Caenorhabditis elegans: one gene and its partners. The protein of the gene in region 2 interacts with the protein of the main gene of each other region in a pairwise test. Each region holds a gene or a part of one and is shown on either strand. Other genes may lie near its edges.

Region 1 (3,664 bases), on a different chromosome or scaffold from region 2:
CGTCCACGTTGTGCTTCTCTATAAGATCAACAGTCATTCCAGCGGCTTCAGATTCTACGCAATCGTCAAATTCAATAGTAAAACTGAAATTATTTTCAAAATTTACAAGATGATATGAACTATTAAAACTCTTCAATCCGGCCTGTCTATTTTTTTTTACAAAACAGTATGGCATTAGAAATAATCTACTTACTTGAATTCCCAACCACTCATTAGATTCTCCCTTTTCAATCTATCAACTGCAATTGAAGCTGCTGCTGCAGATGTACGATATCCAACAGTGATAGGTGCACTTTGAAAGTCTCTACAGTGAATAAATCCCACTCGAATCACATTTCCAGTGGTACCTGTTGCAACTTGGGGAAACATAGGTTTAGGTAACAACTGAAAAAAAATCATTTTTATTTTGTGGAATTCGCTTTCAAAACCTACCGTAATCACTAAAAACAAAACTAGAGACATTGAATAGAAGGGCTTCATGATTATTTTCTTATGCTAAACTGGCAGACAGCAGATCTTTTTATATCTGCACAAGGGGCGGTGGGATTTATAGAAACTTAAGTTTACTACGCCTGCCGCCTAATCCGTGAAACCTTATTTTTATATTTTTCCGCCTCCCGAAACAGTTGATACGTGAAAAAGCACGGAAGAGAAAAAAGCTTCTTTTGGACTTGATTAATCTGTTGGTCATGAGAAAGCGTGACACAAGGTAGGTTACGGTAGCAATTGCGTAATTAATCGGATCAGTCTATGCGCATTTCTGAAACATTGGGGATTTCAAATCTAGTTTATCAAACAGATACAAATCACATTGACATCTCGTGGAAACAGTCTGTAAAGTACCGCAAATTTTACAATTTTTGATATTATTGTCGTTAAACAAGTTCCATTTCAAATTTTTTATTGAATACGGTAAAAAAACAAGAGAGGCAGCTGGTTGAAGTGAGTCACTCTTGTTGAGTTTTCGTTACTGGAAACCTGAATGAAGATAGTTTTTAACTTTAGCATTACGCCTCATTATTTTCCTATTTCCTTTTTACTATTTTACTTGTATTTTTAAACTTTGTTTAGCACATTGAGCACATAAAACCAAATGTTATAAATATCCTTATCATCAACCCATCGGTTTCTTTTTAACTTTTTTCTTTCTCGAATTTCAATGACCCGGAAAACCACCACATCATATGAAAATCGAATCTAAAAATTTGCAGATACGCATCTGTCCTGCTGCGCTCTTTTTTTATTTTTGAATGTTTTTTTTTCTGCAAACGTTGGGAACAGTCATCCAATCCTTCAACCGTTCGTCTCGTTTTGAATGACAAACGTTCTCTTTCCGTCCTCTGTTTGAGTATATTTACATTGCTAATTCAAAAAAAAATAGTATAGAATATAATGATACTTAGAGATAGTTCTGGCATAAAGTTTAAACTTGAATGAAATCATCAATGCCATTAATAACTGTGTCACTGCATTAGTTTATCAGCAAGTGTGCCAGCAAAAAAAACGTTTCGAGACGATTCGATACATTCCTGAAAAACTTCGATAAAAGGGAAGTATCCAAACAACCACACCCAACTTTCATCATTGACTCGCTGTTTTGCTTTTTATTTTTGTTAATCTTCCTTACAATTAGTTTTAAAGTTTAAAACAAATATTACATGTTAGAAAGAACTGTATTTTGGTCAGTTTGTTCGAATAATTTCGAAATCTAAAACCTTTTCTTTTTGATGATTCGTCGGAGTAGATGTTTCTCGAAGGAGGTAAAAAAAACCGTGGGCGATTCTTGTTTGCATTGAGGATAATAGAGCAGTAGTAGAAAAGCAGGGAGTGTCAACTCAGTTTTGTCTTCTTCTTCCCCTATTTCTGTCTTACTTTCGTTTTGTTTCTTTGAAATAATTAGATTTTCAGAAACTATTATAAAATGGATCGTCGTTTTCCACCATTCTCCCCATTCTTTAACCATGGCCGGTAAGTTTCTAAATTCTCGTGTTTTCGGAAACTTCTATAGTTGAAGTAACATAACTTTCTGTAAATTTTCTTCTTTAATAAGTGACGTCACTCAAATTGTACTCTGCGCCGCTAGTTCTTAAAATACACAAGAATTTAATTTGGCGCGATTTCTAAAAATAAGCTAGCGAGAGGACTTTGTACTCCAGTTTAGCAAATAATGCTCTGAAAAATCATAAAGACTGGAGATTTTGACATATTTTTCTGCAATTAGAAAATTAGAAAATTAACTTTAAAAATTTTACAAAACTCCTACAAACAAGTTTTCTAGCAGATTCTTCGATGACGTCGACTTTGATCGCCACATGATCCGACCATACTGGGCCGATCAAACAATGCTCACTGGACACCGAGTAGGAGATGCTATTGATGTTGTGAACAACGATCAAGAATACAATGTATCTGTAGATGTTTCACAGTTTGAACCAGAAGAGTTGAAAGTGAACATTGTTGATAATCAGCTAATCATCGAAGGAAAGCATAACGAGAAGACTGATAAATATGGACAGGTGAGGGTTTCCCTCCTTCTTGAAAAACTCAAGTTTTGTATGAAGCTAGTGCAACTTGAAAATGTTTTCATGCATCCTTAGATTAGCTCTCAAGATCCTGAAACCTTACTCGGAAAAGGGCAAAAAGTTATCCAAAATAAAGGCCAAGAGTTCTAGATTATCCTTCCGCCTGTTACGCAATACAAGGAAGCCAAGCAACTCATTTCCGAGCTTATAACGAAGTTGTACTAAAGTCTAAAACCTCGTTGTGCATACTTTCAGGTAGAGCGTCACTTTGTCCGGAAGTATAACCTTCCAACAGGGGTCCGTCCAGAACAAATCAAGTCCGAATTGAGCAACAATGGAGTGCTCACTGTCAAATATGAGAAGAATCAGGAACAGCAGCCAAAATCCATTCCAATCACAATTGTGCCAAAGAGAAACTGATTTCAGTTACCTAAGTGTCTGTATTTTAACTATTTCAAAAATATTTATTCAATTCCATTATTGAAGTGACAATATAAACATTTTGTTTAGACTCCAACAATCTTTTGAACCGTAATGAATAGAGCATATGGGAACATGGATGGCCTCTTCACTTTCACATAAACTGAGCAGAAGTTGAAATCATCATAATAATCATAATCGATTCGAACTCCTTGTGAGTTTAAATCAACTTGCATTGAAGCGATTGAAGTATCGTTTGGTGATCCAATCGTTGAGAAAACCTTGAATTTAATCATGAAATCTTTTCAAATAGTGACGAAATTATACCTGTTGTGCTAGAGCAAGTGGAAGACTTCCATTGATAACTGCAGATGATACAATGACGTTTTCGAGTGTTTTATCTTGACAATGAGATTGACACCATTGAACTTGGGATACATCTTTTCCGCAATTGGAAAGTGAAGCGTCTGGAAATTTCTTAAAATCGATAGGAAATCTTTTAAAATTAGTTTAGAATACTGATGCAACACATTAAACATGATAAGATTCATTCTTTCCTGTTAGCAGATTAATTTATAATTGATGAGCTTTCTCTATCAATGACGTTTTTTTTTAGATAACTCACCAAAGTTGGTATTAAGTGCAACGTCGGTCTTGACTTTTACAGAAGAATCAGCAAGCTTCACATGGGAAGAATAAGTGAGAGTATGTGACATAAAGTC
Region 2 (4,832 bases):
GTAATTAAAAAAAAAAGATTTGATAAAACTTCGAAAAATTTGGTGGTAGGCTTTTGTAAATTTCTGTCATTTTTTTTCGTAATTTTTGTAACTTTTTTCGACATTTTTTGGTAAGTTTTTTTTTCCATTTGTTAGAAATTTTTTTTTTTTGGTAAATTTTGGTCGTTTTAACCAATGTTTGGCTTTCTTTTTGACTATTCTAGACAATTAATTTTTCAATTTTTCGGCATTTTTTGCCAATTTTTGAAAAATGTCCTACTATTTTTTGGCAATTTTTGGTGAATTATTTCCTTCACTTTTTTTGTAGATTTTTGTACATTTCTGACGTTTTTTGGCCAATTTTCGGTTTTTTTTTCCGTAAATTTTGGTAATTTTTTTTCGGTTTTTTTTCCATTTTTTCGGTAAATTTTGGCCAATTTTTTGAGCAATTTTGTACATTTTCATACAATTTTCGTCAATTTTTAGTTATTTTCGCTGAATTTTCACAATTTTTTCCGCAAATTAAAAAAAAATTTTTTGGCAATTATTGATAATTTTTCCTATTTTTTGGTAGATTTTTGTGGTTCTTTAGTGATTTTTTGCCAATATTTGGTGGATTTTTGTCTTAATTTTTTTTTTAATTTCAAGATTTTTTATCTTTATTTTTTAAGGAATTTTGTCGATTTTGCAGAATGAAATTTGTCAGAAAATTTTCAAATAATTTTTGGAAATTTTGAAAAATTAACATTTTTCATCTGTCTCACCTTATCCTCGGCCCTCAAAACCTGCTTGACAAGCACCCGATCCGCGAGTAGCAGGACTCTGGTGACACTGCTCAAGAGCTGCCTGCTGGCTCGGACGAGCACAGCTTTATCCACCACCGAGTTGGGATCATCGTTACATGCACATGATAGGTTGGCCATTGAAGCACCTGAAAAATATCGGATTTTTATATTTGATCTCAGAAACTGGCAGGAAATTTGGCTTTCCACAGATCAAAGGTAAGAGCTCTCTCGGACTAAACAAGGTCCCACACACTTTGCAAAAAAATGGAGAGGCTCTGGTAATTGGATACGTGAGCATGGATTTGTGCTCTTTTTCTTCGTGTATACATAGATGACGATGGAATAATCACACCCATTGAGTGTTTCATGTAATATGACACCCCGCCGGGGTGAAGAAATGAGGTGCCTTTCTTTGTTTCAGTTGAGAGAAGGGGGTCTATAAGCTATTTTATCTTAATCCGTAGTTCTCATAAGGGGGTGGGCGGCAAACGATTTTTTTCCGGCAAATTGGCAAATTGCCGGAATTGAAATTTCCGGCAAATCGGCAAACCGGCAAATGGTTTTGCACAATTTTTTGGAAATTTCAGAGTTTCAATTTTAATCGGCAGTTTTTTTGGAAGTTTTAAAAATTTTCTTCAAAAACCACCAGTTTTCCCAGATTTTCACAATGACTTTTTTGTATCAAAAAATAAATTTACCAGCTAGCCGAGCTTCAGTACACGCATCATACATTTCCGGCTGAATATCCGCGTTCTCGTCGGCTATCGTCTCTCCAACACACACAAACCGTTCGATTGCTGCCTCAACGGCGCTTCCGATCTGAAAACAGGAAAAGTTTAAAAAAATTAAAATTTTCCACAAAAATTTGTAAATTCTATCCAAACTGGGTTTGTCCGTTCCATGCTAATATTGATATTTAAAAAATTTTGTTTAGAAAACTGTTATAATATAAAATTAGGATACCTTATCATTTACAAAATTCTGAGAATGCGTATTGTGAAACATATTTGACGCGCAAAATATCTCGTAGCGAAAACTACAGTAGTTCTTTAAATAAGTACTGTAGCACTTGTGTCGATTTACGGGTTCTATTTTCGAAAATAATTACTTTCCGAATTACGAGAGCGATATTCCATATATTCTATTGATAAATAAATAGTTTTGATTTATTATTATTTTAGAAATTGAGCCCGTAAATCGACACCAACGCGACAGTAGTCATTTAAATAATTACTGTAGTTTTCGATACGAGATATTTTGCGCGTCAAATATGTTGCACAGTACGCATTCTCCAAATTTTGTGTTTGCCGTAATATTTTGGTCAATATTTTTAAAAAAGTTTCTATGATAAAAAATTACAATTTTCAAATTTTCGAGATTTTTTAATGTTCCACAGAAATTGTTTTAAAACAAATTTCAGAGATTTTTTAAAGGTTTTTTAATGCCTATAGTTTAGTTAATAATTCAAATTTTAATTTTCCCAGGAAATGATCAGAATTTCCGATTTTTGTGTTATTTTTTTTAGGAATCTTTCAACATTTTCCGGGGAAAATTCTTCAATTTCTTCTTATAATTTTCAGAATTTTTCTGTCTAAAAATTACACAAAAGAAAAATTAGTTTTCTCAACTTTTATTGATCAATTTTCAATTAAAACTTCTTTTTTTTAAATTTCACTTTTTCCAGATTCAGATTAAAAAATTTCCAACAAACCTTCAACGCTGCTCTCATTGCTCGTTCAGATTTCGGCTTCCCACTTGCCATGTAACTTTCTTTATAGTTGACGAGTGTGGTGATCTATAAACGAATAAATAAATAAATCGTGCCAAATGGGCCGTCAAACGACGGAAATGAACATGGATAATCGCCCAAAGAAAGGGTGATGTCATTTTTTGCAGCGCCAAAGTAGAATCTTTTAGGATGTTCGGTAAAAGTTTTTAGGTCATGTGTGACGTCACAAAAAATTTAGGTCACTAGTGACGTCATAACTTTCACAAAATTTTTTGCGGGGGTTTCTAGGCCCCGTAAGACATTTTTCAATTAAAAAAAAATTAAAAATTCTTTATAACTCCCTACCTGAGTAACTAGCGGGATAAGTGTCTGCTCTATGGATTTTGTCTTAATTTCCAAATTTCGAGCATCAAACGGCGGGACCACAGAGTTCGAGGACGGCATTGCCGTCGTGTGATATGAGGACGTCAACGATGACATCGATGACGCCGCCATCTTCTTGGCAAGATGACCGCCGCGCCTACCTGGAATTTTCATATTAAAATTGATTGAAAAAGTATGAAATTCAGCAAAAAATCAAAAAAAAACGGAGGAAATCGGTTAGAAATTGGAGGAATTAAAATGAATGAGAGTCGGGTAAAAGTCTGAAATTTTTGTTTCAAAGCCCCAAAATATTTTTTAAAAAATTAGTGAATTTGTATCCCCAAAATTCGAAATTCACTTTATGATTTTGAAGGCTTTTTGGCCAAAAACTGAAGTTTAAAAAACGAAAAATTAAAAAAATCAATTTAATTTTTTTCAAACTATTTTTATCAAGATTTTCCAAAATATATTTGAATTAATTTTTTTATTTAAAAAAAATCAGGAAATCCGGTAAAAAAGACCCTGGATAGGCTAAGCGCCTTTAAACTTTTGGTACTATAAAACAGCCGGTAAACCGGCAAGACGGAGAAAATTGCCGAAATTTAAAATTTCCGGCAAATCGGCAAATCGGAAAAAATTGCCGGAATTAAAAATTTCAGGCAAGTTGGCAAATTGTCGGAATTGAATATTTCCGGCAAATCGGAAAATTGGAAAAAATTGCCGGAATTGAAATTTCTGGCAAATTGGCAAATCGGAAAAAATTTCTGGCAAATCGACAAATCGGAAAAACTTGCCGGAATTGAAATTTCTGGCAAATTGGCAAACCGGCAAATTTTTCCTGTGAATGTTCCTACATATGTTCCTACATCTGAAAAGTAAACGGCAAATTGGCAATTTTCCAAAAATCGGCAATTCGCCCAATTTATTGACAGAAAAAATTTGCCGACCTTTCAAAATGTCTTTCTTTAAAAAAAAAAATTTAATCTATTTTTTATATCAGAAAAAAAGGCGGAAAAAATTTTTCATTGCCCAAAATAGGCTATGCGCTTTTAAACTTTGAGTATTGTACCCGCTTTCTTTTTGAAAGTTTGATTGAAAAATCTAAATTTTCCTTGGTTCAAAACCAATTTTTTTTAGAAAAAAAGGAGCATGGAATATAAGTGGAACACTTTCGGCAATAAGAAAAAACAAAAAAAAACAAATCTGTGGGGTAAAAACAAAACCCGGAAGAGAGGGAAAAATGAGAAAGGAGATGGTATCAAGAGAACTGTCTCAAGAGGATTTCCAGAAAAGTGACCACGGGGAGCCCGGTGGTTGTTGTGCTCAACAGAGGGTGACTAAAAGGCAGAGGGCACTTTGTGTTCTTGCTCCACCGCCGTCGCCGCTGCTGCTGCTGCGGCTCCCCATCTGCGAGAGCTCTTGTGCTCCGGACACAGAGAGGGAGAGGGAGCAAGAGTGTAAAGTGGGGCTCTCTCTCTCTCTTGCCAGTTTCTTCTTCTTCTTCTTGTCGCCGCGGCGCGGACTAGAAGTGAGAAGAAGAAAAAGAAGAAGAAAGAGAAAGAGAGATGGATGGGTGACGACTACGAACCGATCACCCGAATCGATTAGAAACATATTATTATTTTATGAGGGGGCCATTAATGTGAACAGGGGTGGGTGTTGTAGTGCTGGCCTAGGATTTTTTTCCTCTTCCATTATTGCAAGAGGGGTGGTTTGCACACTGGCTGGAAATGACCTAGAATTTTTTTTGTGGGAATTTTTGTTGAATTGAAATTTCCGGCAAATCGGCAAACCGGCAAATTTCCGGAAATTTTCGGCAATTGGAAATTTCAGAATTTCAATTTTAATCTGCAAAATTGTACGTATCCTATGAATGTTGCTACATATGTTTTGAAAAGTAAGCAAATTCTATGAAAATATCTGAGAAAACGGGAACAAAAATTTCAAAAAGGCACAGTTATTTCCGTCTTATAAAA
Region 3 (3,493 bases), 810 kb from region 2:
AATTACGTACAGGCCCCCCTTCTCGGGTCGTGTTAGGGCTCCCAGCAGAGTGAGGCGCGAAATGCGGGCCTCACGCCGACCTCCGCGCACCGATGTGTGTATGCAACGAAGTGCGAAGGGTAGTTATTTGGAGCGGCCGACAAGTTCGGGGTTCCGCAGCTTGGCGTGAAACGAGTAGCTTGGTGTGTGCAGTGCACAACGTAGTTCGAAACTGTGGTTGGCGGCCGACAAGTTCGGGGTTCCGTGCCGCACTATACATTCGGATACATGCGGCGTGAGTGACGCCGACACCGTGAGGCCGGCGCGGCTACCGCTGAGGTCGGCGCGGGACTCGTTGCGGCGACCTCATGGGAGCCCTAACAGAGATGTTAAATTGTTTCAAAATAGCACCGAAACTACTTAATTATAACTTTGCGAGAGCTTACAGATCATTCAAGAATCCCGTCAATTTTTCAACATCTTAAGGAAATTGCCTAAAACACTCACCCTTGTCATATTTTCCCTTGCATCCTTGAAACGAGAACCCATCGGAAAATAGTGTAGCAATCCGGGAAGCATCTCTAGTAGCAATTTCATCTGACACTTTGCTCAAAAACTCCTTGACAGTGGTCTCGGATCCATCGGCGAGTCCATGAATAGTTCTGAAGAGAAGAAAAACGAGAAGAAAATAATTTGTCAGCCACATATTGTGAGGCGACTATCTGCGGAAAAGACGGGATGGTGGGCTCCTTTTAAGCGACAAGATGGGCGGTATGATCGTTATGAATAATCGAATTATTGGAGGGACGGGAATTGGGAATTGTTGCGGGGGACGACACGTCAGCACAGGGAATCGAAAATCAAATTTGGAAAGATGGGAAAAAAATCAAGAAATCTGCAAAATTCGTAGAAGAAAGATGAAAGTGTGGGGAGCTTTTAGATTCGGTAATGTGTATTTTCTATAGAATCCCCCAAAGTTTCGAGTTTTGACATTTTTCATAAAAATTTGATAATGCCAATCGATTTCAATTGTTAAAAAAAAGCAAAAGTTGTATTTTTCAAAAATTCAAAAGTACTGAAAAATCATATGAAGTGCTTCTTTTTTCTTTTATAATACTGTTCAGCATGATCAGAAATACCAGAAAATACTAAAAAAAAGTATGCTAGTCAATCCGGAACATATTTTAAAAAATTGCACAATTTGACCAAAAGCTGTATTTTTCAAAAATTCAAAAGTACGCCAAAATCATATGAAGTGCTTCTTTTTTCTTTTATATTACTGTTCAGCATGATCAGAAATACCAGAAAGTATCAAAAAGAGTATGCTAGCTTGACCGGAAGATTATTTTGAAAAATTGCAAAATTTAGTTAAAATCTATTTTTTCAAAAATTCAAAAGTACTGAAAAACCATATGAAGCGATTCTTTTTTCTTTCATAAAACTGAAAAATAAATGAAGTAAATAAAACGATGCAAGCGCGCTCCAATGCGAATTTGAAAAAATTATGCGGGGGCACAAATGAAATTCGGCGATTTCAAGCTCAAATATAAAATCAGGGATTTTTTTGTTGAATTTTTTTTACATCGATATTCGGAATACTCCACGTGATTTGTAAAATAAATACAACATTTCAGAATTTAAAAAAAAAGAATTGTCCACGTAACCTTGCCCCCCCCCCTCTTCCTAATTGTTCCAACAACATTTCCAAAACTCCTCAACAATCATTCATTCCCTACTTGTCGTACAATTAACATCGAAGAATAAGAGTTTTTGAAAAATGGAAGATATCTACTATTCGCCACGTTACGAAGATGATGAATACGAATATCGCCACGTCATTCTTCCGCAAGCCGTCTCGAGAAAAGTGCCAAAGGGAAGACTTCTTAGTGAGGCTGAATGGAGACGTGCTGGAGTTCAACAGGTATATTTTCAATTAAGTGATATGTTAAGATTTTAGGAAAAAAATCGATAATTAAAAAAAATAGATTTTTCCAAAAATCGATAATTCACAAAATTGATATTTTGAAAAAGCCAATATTTTAAAATATTTTTTATTAAATTAAGCAAGGCTCCCAGCCGAGTGAGGTGCGAAATGTGGGCCTTACGCCGGCCCGATAATTTAATTGCCGGTTTGCTGATTTGCCGGAAATTCTCATGTTCGGCAAATTGCCGGTTTGCCGATTTTCCAGAAATTTTCAATTCCGGCTATGTGCCGGTTTGCCGATTTGCCAGACATTTTCAATTCCGGCTATGTGCCGGTTTGCCGATTTGCCAGACATTTTCAATTCCGGCTATGTGCCGGTTTGCCGATTTGCCAGACATTTTCAATTCCGGCTATGTGCCGATTTGCCGATTTGCCAGGAACTTTCAATTCCGGCAATTTGCCGGTTAGCCGACTTGCCAGAAATTTTCAATTCCGGCAATTTGCCAGAAATTTTCAATTCCGGCAGTTTGCCGATTTGCCGATTTCCAGAAATTTTAAACTTCGGCAATTTGCCGGTTTTTTGATTTGCCAGAAATTTTCAATTCCGGCTATGTGTCGGTTTGCCGATTTGCCAGAAATTTTCAATTCCGGCAATTGGCCGGCTTACCGATTTGCCCGAAATTTTCAATTCCGGCAATTTGCCTTTAATGAAAATTTGTTTTAAATAAACATTAATATGTTGATAGAATCGATATTTCAAGAAAACCGATAGTCATAAAATCGACGAAAAAAAATCAATATTAAATTTCTGAATGTGGCCGAATTATTGATTTTTCATACTTTTCAGTCACTTGGATGGGAGCACTACATGGTTCATAACCCGGAGAAGCACATTCTCTTGTTCCGTCGGAAGCGCCATTTCACAAAAGCCGACGAGGAGCGTGCCAAAATGGAATTGTTGAGAGATATGGAAGTGTTCAATAGAGCGCAACAGCAAACGACAGCAACCGATGAGAAATTGAACGCGGTTTTCTATGAATTTGTGAATAAAGCAGTGTAGATATTTTGTAAGACTTTGGGCTTCCATGGGTGAGCGGCGGTGCGTCTCGCGCCGGCCGGCCATCGCCGCTGTTATTTGGAAGCGTCCGACACGTTCGGGGTTCCGCGCCGCACTATACATGACTGAGGCGTCTCGCTGGTCGGCGAAGGCGCCTCGCCGGCGCAGGAATGGAAGCCCTAGTAATACCGTATGTTCAATTAAAAAGCGCCGAAAATCGATATATTACAAAAGTTGCTTTTTAAAAAATCGATATTTTGGGAAATCGATATTTCGACAAAAATCAATATTAAATGAAAATCGAAGTCATAAAAATCAATATTTTGCAACAAAACCCGTATAGAATAAAAATCTCGGCCGCCATAAAAACGAAGCATAAAGATTTTTATTTCAAATTTTATGTTAACAAAAATTACAAATTTGTTTTGAACGTAGAGTACACCAGGGGCCGGCAATTCCCGTTCGGCAATTTTTTTTGTCCACAAATTCGGAAAGTCGGCAAATTGCCAGTTTGCCGATTTGCCGGAAATTGT

The links.
Region 1: the proteins of ctn-1 (region 2) and hsp-17 interact in a two-hybrid assay, tested with the Caenorhabditis elegans proteins (one large-scale study listed by BioGRID).
Region 3: the proteins of ctn-1 (region 2) and Y71G12B.27 interact in a two-hybrid assay, tested with the Caenorhabditis elegans proteins (one large-scale study listed by BioGRID).

Annotation. Positions count from the first base shown.
Region 1 is NC_003283.11:8,384,172-8,387,835, reverse strand, and holds hsp-17 (SHSP domain-containing protein), read left to right. Parts: upstream 1-1,908; 5' UTR 1,909-1,921; coding exon 1,922-1,968; intron 1,969-2,278; coding exon 2,279-2,516; intron 2,517-2,777; coding exon 2,778-2,942; 3' UTR 2,943-3,028; downstream 3,029-3,664. Other genes in the region: gcy-7 (Guanylate cyclase), read right to left, coding at 1-83, 194-384, 433-480; F52E1.14 (ZP domain-containing protein), read right to left, coding at 3,029-3,223, 3,270-3,409, 3,568-3,664.
Region 2 is NC_003279.8:2,604,939-2,609,770, reverse strand, and holds the start of ctn-1 (Alpha-catulin), read right to left. Parts: upstream 3,031-4,832; coding exon 2,839-3,030; intron 2,560-2,838; coding exon 2,476-2,559; intron 1,584-2,475; coding exon 1,463-1,583; intron 911-1,462; coding exon 744-910; intron 1-743. UniProt on the Caenorhabditis elegans protein: Required for slo-1 potassium ion channel clustering at presynaptic terminals and in egg-laying muscles; clustering of slo-1 mediates the intoxicating and sedatory effects of ethanol on worms.
Region 3 is NC_003279.8:1,796,909-1,800,401, reverse strand, and holds Y71G12B.27 (Cyclin-dependent kinases regulatory subunit), read left to right. Parts: upstream 1-1,679; 5' UTR 1,680-1,756; coding exon 1,757-1,900; intron 1,901-2,750; coding exon 2,751-2,963; 3' UTR 2,964-2,967; downstream 2,968-3,493. Other genes in the region: Y71G12B.5 (Apolipophorin), read right to left, coding at 487-685.